Caenorhabditis elegans: one gene and its partner. The protein of the gene in region 1 purifies or fractionates together with the protein of each later gene. This does not show direct contact. Each region holds a gene or a part of one and is shown on either strand. Other genes may lie near its edges.

Region 1 (7,601 bases):
CTCACCTTGCTGTAACGAAATATTATTTATGAAAAAGTGATCTTTAAAAAAATTTACTTCATTGTCTATTTTTGCGTTGATACAAAAACCGGTGCCACAGTTTCTTGAGGAAGAGAAGAATTTCGCTTGTGGAATAGAATCATCTAGTTTTTTTCCTCTGAAAAATTAACGTTATTTAATTACCTAAAGTATTGTATTAAAGTACTTTTGAGCGTCTGAGCAAACACATTCGCTGACTTTAAAGTTTCTTTCAGTAAATGTTGATGGACATGTGCAAAACTGGAAGTAATAGAATTGATTTTCGACTCCACGAATTTCATTTCTTCTGATTCCTGTGTATTCCTTTACTGACACGGTGATCTGAAAAGATGAACGTAGTGAAAGTAAAGATATATCATTAAGTTCTATTATCCCTTACGCTTTTTGCATCAGTGGTCGGTATTTGGAAAAAGAGAAGTGAAAAAAGAGCGAGTGATAAGGACAGTGACATATGGGCCTGAATGATAGACATGCGCCAAGTTTGAATAGGACACTAGCAGTGATTTTTCGGAATCGATGGGTCTCCCGGGGGTGGGCGGGCAAAGTAGGATATCAATGACCTTGTCAGGAGGAGGCAGCAGTAGTAGTAGAAGATTACAGAATGGTATAGTGGTAGACCACAGTGATTTGTGAAATCAGTATGCTGTATAGTTAAGATACAGTCACTTTATATCTGATAGTTGGTAGCAGACATACAGACTCTTATGACGCATGAAATAATGGGTGGGCCCCTAGAAGGACATTGTACTTTGAAAATTTAATTTCAATTTTATTCGACAATGCAAAGTATCAGGTTTTTGGTTTTTGGAATACCACTTTGCTGACCCTAACAAAAATGAGTGTAGGTGGACACATTATTCAAATCATGAGATCACCGGAAAACATCTTGAAAGTGCAGACACGTGTAAAATGAACAATAGTTTTGAAACTTTTTCTTAGTAATTTGGAATTGAAATTTTCTGAAAAAAAAATTTCGCAAATAATCTAAAAGTGTTGTCAAGCAGATAAATTGTTACGTGAACATTCTTAGTCATGATGATTTGAAACATTAATAGCATAATGCTTTAGTTCTCTCTATGTTTCTCTATCCTTCCCACACATACACAGCTTTTGAACTTTCATTCAATTATCCCATTGTAATAATTTATTAAAATCCCTTTGCACAAACAAAAATGATTATCATTCTGTGAAAAATGTGAAAATATGAATAGCAGGAAAATGACAGAAAAGAAGTAAAAAGAACCACTCAGGAAACATCAGACGGGAAGAAAAGTTAAAAATGAACAAGAAAAAATGTACTCGGACCTCTATTTGTAGGAAGAAAACTGTGATGGAAAATGAAACACCGGAAACTCGAAAAAAGAAAAAAAAACATTGAATCACTCACAAAAAAGCGGAAATTTAAATATTTTGAAATTTGAAAAAGTAACCGTGTTCTGACTCATTATTCCTTTTGCGTTTCATTTTCTTCCTAAAGAGTCTTAATAAATTAATCACCATTGTGGGAAGGAACTGTACAAAAGAGTGGCTGGCTCGTAGTTCAAGAAGGGATTTTGAATTAGTGGGATTGTAGTTGGAAGCATTGTAGGCATCATCAAGGATGACAAATCAATTGGGAGAGGATTTAATGCTTGATTAGGCTGCAAATTAAATACTGTGATTTTCAAAGCATTTGATAACTGATTATTTATTACCACTGCCTGAGTTCTTCCCCAGGAACATCTGACTTGATTTCCAGCCATCTCCTTTCCATTCATCTCCATTATTGCTTTTGTGGCACACTCTTTTTTCTCATATCTGACGAACGCGTACCTTTGGGTTTTGAAAATACGCACTTCCGCTATATCACCATATGTTGAGAATAAATCGCGGAGATCAGCGTCTATAAAAATATGTACATAGATATAACATATGGCAGTGATAGGATAAAAGGCAGAAAGTCATTTATCAAATTTCATGGGACGTTCTCACTGTCTACCAGGCGGAAGTGTCAAGCAGTAGGATGTGATGAGGAAAAATGATGATAGCCTCATATCCGTTAGAAAGTTTGTTAATGAGATAAAGACATGGAACTGGTTTACTCTGTTAATAAACTATGGGAAAGTTACCGAATAAGGCCATTCGAGAAATTGAAATGATCTTTTAATGGTTTTATGTTTTGTCAACAACTACAGTGTCTTAATTTGATTGTAAACATTAAAAAATGCCTGCAAAAATACCATTTTAACCAGTACAAGTAAAATGTATCAGATAGAGCATTAACTTTTTAAAACTATTGCTATTAATTTGTTCAAAGATGTATCATAGATGTGCATTGCGAAATTAGCAAAATTAAAATTACAACGCCTGTCAACTTACTTCTTAAAAATCAGTTTGTATTATCCAAATGCTCAATAACACTAGTTTACTTTAAAAAATTAAATTTCACGGAAAACCTATATCAAAAATATTAGTATGATTTGGAAAAATTCTAAAAAAAATAAACGTTTCAATTAAGTTTCCAATATTATTTGTCAAATAAAATTTATAACAATTATAAACTTCGATGTTTCACTGCGGAGTAGAGCCAATGGGGAAATTGCTTTGAAACATGCATATGGAACCACAATGACGAAATATTTCAGTAAAAGTATTTTTTTTAATTTGTAAAATTACTTTTTTCGTTTGATTGCGTAGTTTTCTATAAAAGTGCGTAGTTTTCTATAAAAGTGACTTAAAGCGATCGCGAACTGCCAATAAAAAATTTTCAAAACAATTTTTGGAAAGTTTTACTATTTTTTTGGCCATAATATTTGGCCATTTAGTCCCCATGGAACTGGTTTTTAGCAATTTACCCACTAGCGCTACTACAACTTTCACCATTGGTTACCGGAGCAGTATACGGTCTCTCTATTAATGCAAATTTCCCAATTCTTTAAATTTCAGAAGAAACTATAGATGTAATTCTAAAGATTGTTTTCTTTATTTCAAAAACTTAAACTCTATTTATTTCCTTTTTAATGACTGATATGAAGTACACTGTCTACCTATAACTAACCTGTAGTCTGTTGACTTATGTTCCCAACATAAACTGACGTGTTATCGGCTTTCGTTGAGTTGAACACCTGGAGCTGTCATGTTTTATTGAGATTTAACGTTACAACATCTCACCTGTTCAAAAGTCAGCTTGTCGCGATTCTCCTCGCTGTTTTTTCGTGCCGCCCAGTTGGTCCGCACAGCTCGTTTCCCAATCCATTTTCCGTTCATTCCGGCTATCGCGTTCTCTGCATTCTAAAAACAAGGCTCAGTTTTCTCGACGAAAATAAATAGGACCAATGGGCTTCGTAAAAAAAACAGAGAGAAACTAACTTGTTTGTTGGGAAATGACACAAATCCGTATCCTTTTGATTTCTGAGTCTGAACATCTCGAATCACTTTAGCTTCACTGAAAAAAATACTTCCGCGGTATAAATGTCAAGATTGGGTAAAAAATCTAACAATGGTTGGAGAATATTGCTTTCAGTTTTGCTCAATATTTTGTCATAAAATTTATTAAATTTCGGTTTGGGAATGATGATATTTTTTTGCCAAGTACGGTTTCGATATACTCTTTTAAAAATTTTTATGGAAAATTGCTAGTTACTCAAAAAAATAAGTTATGTAAGTTTTTTTAAATCCAAATGACGAGGGTGTTGTTTGTTTTTTGATTCGAACTCTTTTGTATAGTGTTAACGTGTTCAAGCAAAATTAAGTATTTTATCCTCAAATTTACCTGACTTCTCCGAATTTTGTAAACGTTGATTTTAAAAGCTCATTGCTCACGTCCTTGCTCAAATCCCCGACAAAAACATGAAAATGCTCTGAAAAGAAGCAAAGAAATGATATTGCATTGCTAATCTTCTTCTTTTTTAGTGCTGGCACGCATGGTTTCATTTCATCTCATCTTGGTCGTCAGTTTCATATTTTCCAATTCTTGACCACGGAACATAAAAAACGATAAAAAACGTGTGACTTTCAAGAAAAACGGTTAGCAGCTATGAGGCTAAACAACCTCGAATTGTCTGATAAGGGTGATAAGAACAACCAAAGAATACAATAACACCCAGAACGGTTTTGAAAAAAAAAAGTGAATCCGTCTGTGTGATTGATAAGGTCAATCAAATGACTTATCTTTATCTTCTTTTTTTGGTCTCATATTTTTTCACAGCTATTTTGACTTATGACCTGACACCAATACGGCGCCAGAAAAGTAATTGAAAAATAAAGATTGATAGGATCTTTGATTCAAACAAATTCATTTTTCACACTTTTCATCCAAATCTGCAAATCTACACTCACTGCTTGTATCAATTCGCATCTCCATCGGCGGCTCCGAGGCTGAGTGCAACACGGCTGATTCCTGCAACACAATTGCATTTGCCAAATGAGAATCCGTACTAGTTGAATGTATTTCGATCGGACAAAAAGATTGGCGCGAGAGGAAAGGGTAACTAAAGGGGGAAAGAAGGGTGCGAAATAAGCGGAAATGGGCAAATGAACAAACCAAAGAGTGTGGAAGACCGATGTGTGACAAAGAAGGAAGGCTGGCGGTCTGGAGAAGCAGAGGACATGTGTCCAAGGATTGAATCGACTGTGTCTGAACACAGGTATATGAATTATTGAGTTGCACAATATCCGATCAACCTACGTCTAATAAACCTGCCGGGAACTGCGAGTATAGGTTTTTCATAGGCATTTGTTGAGAGTAAAGCAAGGATGTCTGAGGAGTCGCAGTTGGTAAGCACATGAGTGCTTTCTGCAAGGACTGTTTTAAACATTTCTGTGTTTTGACAAAGTTCAATTTTTCAGAAAGAATCAATATGAAAGACTAATCTAGAAAGAATAATCTCAAAATTGCACGTGATTGCTTCTAAAAAATCGTTCGAAACATATCAGTTAACCTGTGAATTCAGACAATATGTAATAAAACTTAGTTTTGGGAAGCTTGTTTTAACTAAAAGTGTTGTTTTTTCTCTGCTTAACATTTGGAAAAGCAACAACTTAAATATTTCTGACAACTTGAGAAAATCAATTGTTGAACATACTTAACAACGTTCACGTCACTATTTCTACAGAAACCAGATGCATTATCCATTTGTATTTATTTAGAATTGTAAACCACCTTTCTTTTTTATGATTGATCAGATTGTGTTCCTTTTCTTTGCCAGGAAAATTACTGACGGGAATGTGGCAATTAAAAAATCTATTGCAAATTTGCATTACCTATTATGAGCAAAAAAAGGGAATAACAATTACATGGCTTATTACAAGCACATGCTAATGTTCTTGTACTGCCCTCGGTTTTAGTACCAACGAATTGCTTTCAATTTCTAAAAAGTCACCTACCTTCGCCTGCTGAGCCGAACCATATTCGGCTTCGTGTACGGAGATGAGGTCCTGTGATCGTTTCAGCTTGAATTGTGTACTAACACCACTGTGGTGTTCCAGGACTTGTTTAAATGTGAGAAGAATGCAAATGTTCCTGGAAAAACGCTGTGAATCGGATTAGCATTCCCATTGAAAAATAAGAGCAAAAACAGAGCCAAGAGATTTGTTTTCAAATCCCTCGCGAAACTAACAAGGTAACTAAACTGTGATAATGGATTATCGATAAATGGAAAAATGTGGCAAGGAATATAACCGGAAAATGAGTCAAAAAATAAAAAAGTAGAAGGAGGAAGAAGGTGCAATATTCATTTTTCATGGCCGAGCATCTTCTTGTAGCAGAGTGATGTGCTCCGCCTTGTCCCAAGGGGAATTGGGTGGAGAACTAATTAAGAAAGTCGAAAACAATAGAATATATTGAGGTGTAGACTATGTCGGAAACAAGAAAAATGCGAATAAGAGGATGGAAAGGAAGGGAAGGAAAAAATGTGCAACAAACTTGGGAGCTAAGACCGGACTCCACATTTAACCCATCCAGTGTTGTTTCTCACGATGGGCTCAAGAGCGGAACGTCGTTTCATTCTTGTGATTTTACCATCCATTCCCACCAGATTTGAGATTTACCGAGTGCCCACCCCTTGTGACCTCCTTTTATTCTTCTCATCTAGCTTGAGCACCTTTCCTTTCCTTTGACTTTTTTATACGTTGTCATTCTTCATGTAAGAGAGCTCAGGATTCTTCCATTTTCATTTTCCTATTCATCTAGTAGTAGTCCATTAGTCTCACTCGAAAAATGAGCAACGAATGCACTAGAGGGTTCGTGTGGCTGAATAGCGGTAATACGCAAAATGGAATAAACAAATGATATTTGAGAGAGGCATGGGCCCCATAAAAAAAGGCGGAAAATGTCTTCAACTGTGAGAATAGGGTCTCGCACCAAATCGAGACACCTAAATTCATAGATTCATGCATCTGAAAGAGCTTTTAGCAGAAGGCAAAAAAAATAGACAACGGTGGACACGAACAAAGAATGTTTTAATGCTTGTGAATAGGGAGGAATAGACAGTGTGCACGGAGTCAGCCGAGAGGAAATAAAAATGTTCCTTTTTTGAACAATAACAATCAGATTCGTATTGGAAAGGAAGACGAACAACAAATCGATACAACCACCAGTTTATTAGGTGAAGAACATTACAAATAGGAGAAAAAGAGTTTCACAGTGACAGACGTGAAGACCGTAATTTTTCGAATCGCTTAAGCTTAATAGTAGTTAAAAGCAGGTAGCTAAAAATGTTAGTCCATTGACTTTTTCAAAGATAAAAACTTTAGCGCAAATGAAGCACGTTTCTTGTTAATGTGTTTTCAGGATTAAAATGTTAAACAAGAATATCAACTTCAAAATCGATTTGTAATCAATAAAGTTTACAATTATAATATTTTATTCTTATATCAAAACTTCAGGAAATGATACTTCAAGATTGAAAATCCGCCTTGATGGCGTATTCCAAAAAGGGAATAGATTTTTGGGAAACGAGCGGCATTTTTGTCACGAAGATCAATGATTAAAAACAATAAGATGACTCAATCTGTAAACGACCAACATTTTCTGATTTGTATAAATTACATACAAACAAAAAAATTAATTATTAAAATTACTTGAATCAAATGTATCCTTAAATGGTTGAACATTCTGAAGCAGTATGTATTTGTGTACTATATCCTTAAATTTTGAAAAAAAAGTATGTTTCCATTTATACGTTAATTAAGCATTATTTGGAAACAAATCTTTTCAAAAAATTAAACTTCTAATTTAAAGAAGTCTTATCAATTTGAAAAAAAGGGTAAAACCAAATAGCAGAATGAGCAAGAGCAAACTGACCAGTTTACACCTTCAAATGTTTATTTTATTCAATCGCAAATATCAATCTGTATACCATGCAATGTGTTGATATAAACTATGGAAAAGTGTAAAAAAGGGAGAAGGCATGGCTCTTGATTAGTCAGTTTTCATAAATTGTTTTCTAAATTTATTGAAAAAGAGCATGTCCATTTTCTATATACTGTTCCCTAAGACTTTAAGTTTGATCGTTCGATCGTGGACTTGATCTAGTTTTTTATTGGTATTGGAATGAATTTATGATTAAACAAATGTGCATTAG
Region 2 (5,244 bases), on another chromosome or scaffold:
CCAAAGGCTCACCCATCCGGCTAGGAAATTTACCAGATGAACACACTATGAAATATTTGGAAAAATGTTTTAGTCTATGTACAATGCCATAAAGATTGGAGATGACGAAATTCAAGCCATAATGATGGTAGATAGTTGCTACATAAGCAAACTTGGTACATATTTAATACATACCATTTCTTTGACCATACGCGATAACATCTGGAGATGAACTGGGGATGCCAACTGGCAAGCACAACACGACTTGCACAAGAGGAAGAGGTGAATATAGCGATGCTGTAAAAATTATGGTCCTCGATAAGAAGACGGCGTTTACAAAGAGAGTGACGCCAAGGAGGTGAACGTGTGGAAAGACGCACACCATATAACTGTCTCCTTTCCGCCTACCTCTTCTGCGAGAGTGACCCATCCGAGCACCTAAACAATTTCTGTCATTCATTCTATCTTGATTCATTTTTTGAAAAAAAATATAGAAAAACCAATTAGTTTGGCCTTTAAACGCAAAAATTTCAAAAATGACGTCACAGATTTGCGCGGGATTTTTTTTGAAAAAATCATAAAAAGTTTAGAAAATTAAAATGTTTTTAAATTCGGTATATTGGGACTGTATTCTGTCATTTAGGGCAAAAAAACCCACAGACGCTACTCCACCATTAAAAATTCCTTTAAAAAATTCAGAACTCTTCCCAAAAATTAGAAAAAATTTTGTTAAGAATTCTACAAATATTTTCAAATTTTCTGAAATTTTACACCTTTTCTTGACTTGACTATTATTATTGAAAATTCCTGGGCCTGCTTAAACTTTCATCAAGTTTCTCTAAATTAGTATTAACATTTCTCTAATCATTGACAATTTCCTGAAAGGTTTTTTGATTCTATAAAACATACCGCAATGCTTTTGAGATTTTTGTAATATCATCGAATAATTTTCAAATATTCCCTGAAATTTTTTGAAATGAATTGGAAATTGCGTTTTTGAAATTTTCTCAAATGGCTCTGAAATGCTTTCTGAACTTTTTTGAAATTGATTGGAAATGGCTGAATTTTTTGGAATTCTCTGAGATTTTAGCAAAATAAGCAAATTTATATCCAAAATTTTTTTTCTAGAAACATGTAGCAAATATGATATTTTTTGAACACATAAAAGCATTGGAAAAAGTAAAAAAATCAAAAATTATGAAAGAGTTGGGGTTTGATGAACTGACTCCACTTGAACTGTTGATGAAACAAGATTTGTGTTGCGAGCGTCGATGTAATCCAAATCTGGGCAGTCAATTGATAGGGGTGTTCTGGAAACAAAAAATGGATTCTGGAAGTTTGAAATTTGAAATTTAGAGCTGGAAATCGGAATTTACGTTAAAATTATCCCTAGACCACACTCGGCATCAAACGATATTGTCCATAAAATTTCAAAAAAAGTTTGTTTGAAATAATAAATTTTGACAAAAAAATCAATGTGATTTTGGATCCTAGGTTGCTACATAGTTTCTACAATCCCCCCTAACTATAATTTTCAAAATTTTCAGTGCAAAATGTCGTAAAATCAGGTGTCCCGGGTTACTACTGTACTTGATTTCCTAGAGTTTTGAACAAAGTTTTTGGAACTTAAGAGTTATATGTATTTTGCCACGCGGAGTTCGAATTTCTACTAAAATTTTGAGTATTCGAATTTTTTATAGTTTTCAGAAGTAAAAAATTATAAATTTCAATTCAAAAATACTCTACTGTAGTTTTGTGTCCGGGTTACTGTAGTTTGGTATTTCCCTACCAGACACCAAATTTCAAGTGGGTTTGCACTAAAATTCAGAAATTTTGGGAATAGGTGCAGTTTGTCACGTGGAATCAAAATTTCAAATCAGAATCCAAATATTTTGAAGTTGTCATACTTTTCAACTCTCAAAAGTTTTGAATATATTTTTAAAACTGAAAATTTTGAATTCAGCGCCCATAGATTGCCCTATAAACATAGCTTAAACACCAAAAAAAAAGTATGACCACAGTGCGGACTCGAACCCCGGTCTTCTGATTGGTGGTAATGGAAAATCCTACTGAGACATTTGGGCGAAATTTTGAAAAATTCTGAATTTGTGTAATTTTGGGTCTTTAATGCTATGGGAAAAATATTTCCAAAAAAGGAATTTTCAGTCTTTCAATCTCAATAACTTTTAACTTTGAGTTGAAATTCAATATACTCATTCTAAATCAGGGGTGCAAATTCGGCAAACCGGCAATTTTCCGGTTTGCCGATTTGCGGTCATATTAGGTATTAATATATTTAATTCTATGGGTAAAATATTTCTGAAAATTGAAATTTCAGCTTTTCACTCTTAATCATTTTTAAAATTGAGGCGAAATTCAAAATCCTCACTCTAAATTACCCCTATTCCCCAATTTTAAGGTTTTGGTCTTTTTTTTAATTTCGTGAAATCTAGTATTCTGGATTACTGTAGCTTGATATTTGAGTGCCATACATCAGATTTGACGAGATTTTGCACAAAATAAATTTTCAATTTTCGGTCTAATTTTAGCAATAAAAACTCACTTGTCTCTATGCTGAGTAACCATAACCTGTGGAATATTGCTCAATTTTCTTCGTTTTTCCTTTCGTCTGCAGCAACCACAACTCATTGTGCAGTACATCAAAATTAAGGCGATTAAGGCGAAAAATACGACTGTGGCCGAGAAAATAATGAGCACAAGGTTGAATTCGTCCACGTCCAGCCCATATTCTGGGTACATTGCTTGTGCTGGACTATAAAAAGGTTTTGTGGGCGAATTTGTGAAGAAAATTTTAAAAAGTAGAATAATTGGGATTTAATAGTAAGTTTAAAGAAATACAAAAAAAATTGTGAAAATTTCGATTTTTTTTCAATTTTTATCAACAAAAAAAAAGACTAAAATTAAAGCGTTCAATATTAGTTACAAAAAAAGTTAAAGCATACAAAATCACGAAAAATTCCAAGAATAATGTCTGTGACAATTTCCGGCATTTTCGAAATTTCGCTCAAATGGCTCAGTGGGATTTTCCAGAACTACAAAGCAGAAGACCGGGGTTCGAGTCCACACGGTGGTCGATTTTTTTTTCGTTGCTTGTTAGGTAATAAAAAGTGCTGAATCTGAATTTTAAAGGTTTAAAGCTCAAAAATTGTTAGAAATTGGGATTTCAGACATAGATAATAGCTTAAGTCTGAATCTTGTTAAAATTCGAAATTGTAGGTTTTTTTGCAATTTTTTTAAAATGAAATTTTTACCAAAAAGATTTTGAGCATGCAAAAAAAAATTGAAACTCAAATTTCAAAACTCTGGGAAAAATTGAAACAGCGGAAAAACCCCAAATTTCAAAAAAAATTTCACAAAAAAACGAAGAAAAGTTCCTCCAGTTTAACCTAATAAGATATTTCACCAAAAATGAGTTTGTTCTTCGCTCTTTTTTCGTTTTCTTCTTCCCCATCCAAAAATTTCACCAAAAAAAGAGTGCAAGTCAAAAATGTCATTCAAAGTTGTTTGCAAGAAGCAATTCCCATGAGGTTCAACTAAAAATGTACCGGATTTTACTTGGAACGCACTTGAAAGAAAAATAAAATCGGAAAAAATCAATATTTTTCAATAAAAATAAGTAATTTGGAAAATCTGACAAGCTCAAAGAGCTCAAAACTTGATGAAAATACTTCAAATTTCAAAAATTTGAATTGTATCGTCAAATTAGTCGGATGGCCCAATTTTCAAACGTTAGTGCAAAATTCTGTCAAAATCGGTGTTGGGTACGCAAACACCAAGCTACAGTAACCCAAGAAAATAGATTTGACCACATTTTCCATAGTAATCTTGAAATACTGCGGGCAGGGGTAATTTAGGGCAAGGGTGGGCGGCAAACGATTCCGGCAAATCGGCAAACTGCTGGAATTGCCGATTTGTCGAATTTGCCAGAAAAACGGGGAATGCCGGAAATTTTCTGCAAATTGTGGTTTTGCACATTTTTTTTGGGAATTTCAGATTTTTAATTATAATCGGGAAAAAATTAAAAAGGGCACAGGTTTAAGTGTTTTCGTCTTTTGAAAAAAAAATCCTCTAAACATTCCCCGCAAATCTGATATCCGGCAAACGACAAATTGGCAATTTGCCGGAATTGAAAACTTCCGACAAATCGGCAAACCGGAAAATTGCCGGTTTGCCGAATTCGCACCCCTGATTTAGCATGAGTATATTGAATTTCGACTCAAAGCTAAAAGTTATTGAGATTGAAAGGCTGAAATTTCCTTTTTTTGAAATGTTTTTTCCAATAGAATCAAAGGCCCAAAATTACACAAATTCAGCATTTTTCAAAATTTTGCCCGAATGGCTCAGTAGGATTTTCCACAACCACCAATCAAAAGACCGGGGTTCAAGTCCGCACTGTGGTCAAAGTTTTTTCTTGGTTTTTAAGCTACGTTCATAGGGCATAGGGTAATTGATGGGTCTAAATTCAAAATTTCAAGTTTCAAAGTTCAAAAATGACTTTAAAGTTCGATCTTGACCTCTTAAAATTTAGAAAAAAAAACAGTGGAAGAAAAGAATGGGGAAGAACATTTTGAAATTCTCAGATTACCGCAAACCTTTTTGCCGTCTCTCTGCGTGTGTGTGTATGCCGGCGGTAAGAGGTAAAAATGATCAGCACAAAAAGAGCAAACATTCTCGGGTTCTTCTTGTGCTCCGAGCCTCTTCCCACAACTTTTCCTATTTCTCTATCTCTGTAGTAAAGGTATCACACGGCAGATAGTGTGACAGATTGAGAGATCAAAAACTGGGCAACAGTTGGCTCCGGCTCGGTGAGAAAATCGAGAGAAAATCAGGAGAGATGTCGGCACCCACCTCGAATTTTTAATCACTTTTTTAGTGGTTTTACACATTGCAAAAGACGTGGAAAACTATGGGAAAATAAAAAGTTTTGATGCAAACTCGAACCCCGGTCTTGTGATAGGAAGTTTTGGAAAATCCCACTGAGCCATTCGAATAAAGATTTTCAAAAGTGATGAAAAACGATTTTTAATTGCTTGTAAGCTCAAAAAATTTTAGAATTTAAACTCAGCATCTCGCAATTACTTTACTAACCATTTCAAAACAATGAAAAAAAAGTTTCGACCACAGTGCGGACTCGAACCGCGGCCTTGTGATTGGAAGTTCTGAAAAATCCCACTGAGCCATTTACCCAAAATTTTCCGAAAATGCGTCAAAATTCCAAAAAATAGCGAAAAACTAGTTTACACA

The links.
Region 2: the proteins of rnp-9 (region 1) and F48F5.6 fractionate together in Caenorhabditis elegans (co-fractionation; one large-scale study listed by BioGRID). This does not show direct contact.

Annotation. Positions count from the first base shown.
Region 1 is NC_003284.9:10,165,256-10,172,856, reverse strand, and holds rnp-9 (RRM domain-containing protein), read right to left. Parts: upstream 5,553-7,601; 5' UTR 5,404-5,552; intron 4,814-5,403; 5' UTR 4,805-4,813; coding exon 4,706-4,804; intron 4,655-4,705; coding exon 4,562-4,654; intron 4,418-4,561; coding exon 4,357-4,417; intron 3,879-4,356; coding exon 3,791-3,878; intron 3,464-3,790; coding exon 3,388-3,463; intron 3,310-3,387; coding exon 3,190-3,309; intron 3,144-3,189; coding exon 3,077-3,143; intron 1,922-3,076; coding exon 1,734-1,921; intron 1,680-1,733; coding exon 1,533-1,679; 3' UTR 1,164-1,532; downstream 1-1,163. Other genes in the region: C07A4.2 (SCP domain-containing protein), read right to left, coding at 1-9, 58-157, 206-360, 419-511.
Region 2 is NC_003283.11:20,447,208-20,452,451, forward strand, and holds F48F5.6 (uncharacterized protein), read right to left. Parts: upstream 2,753-5,244; 5' UTR 2,740-2,752; coding exon 2,543-2,739; intron 1,290-2,542; coding exon 1,175-1,289; 3' UTR 1,068-1,174; downstream 1-1,067.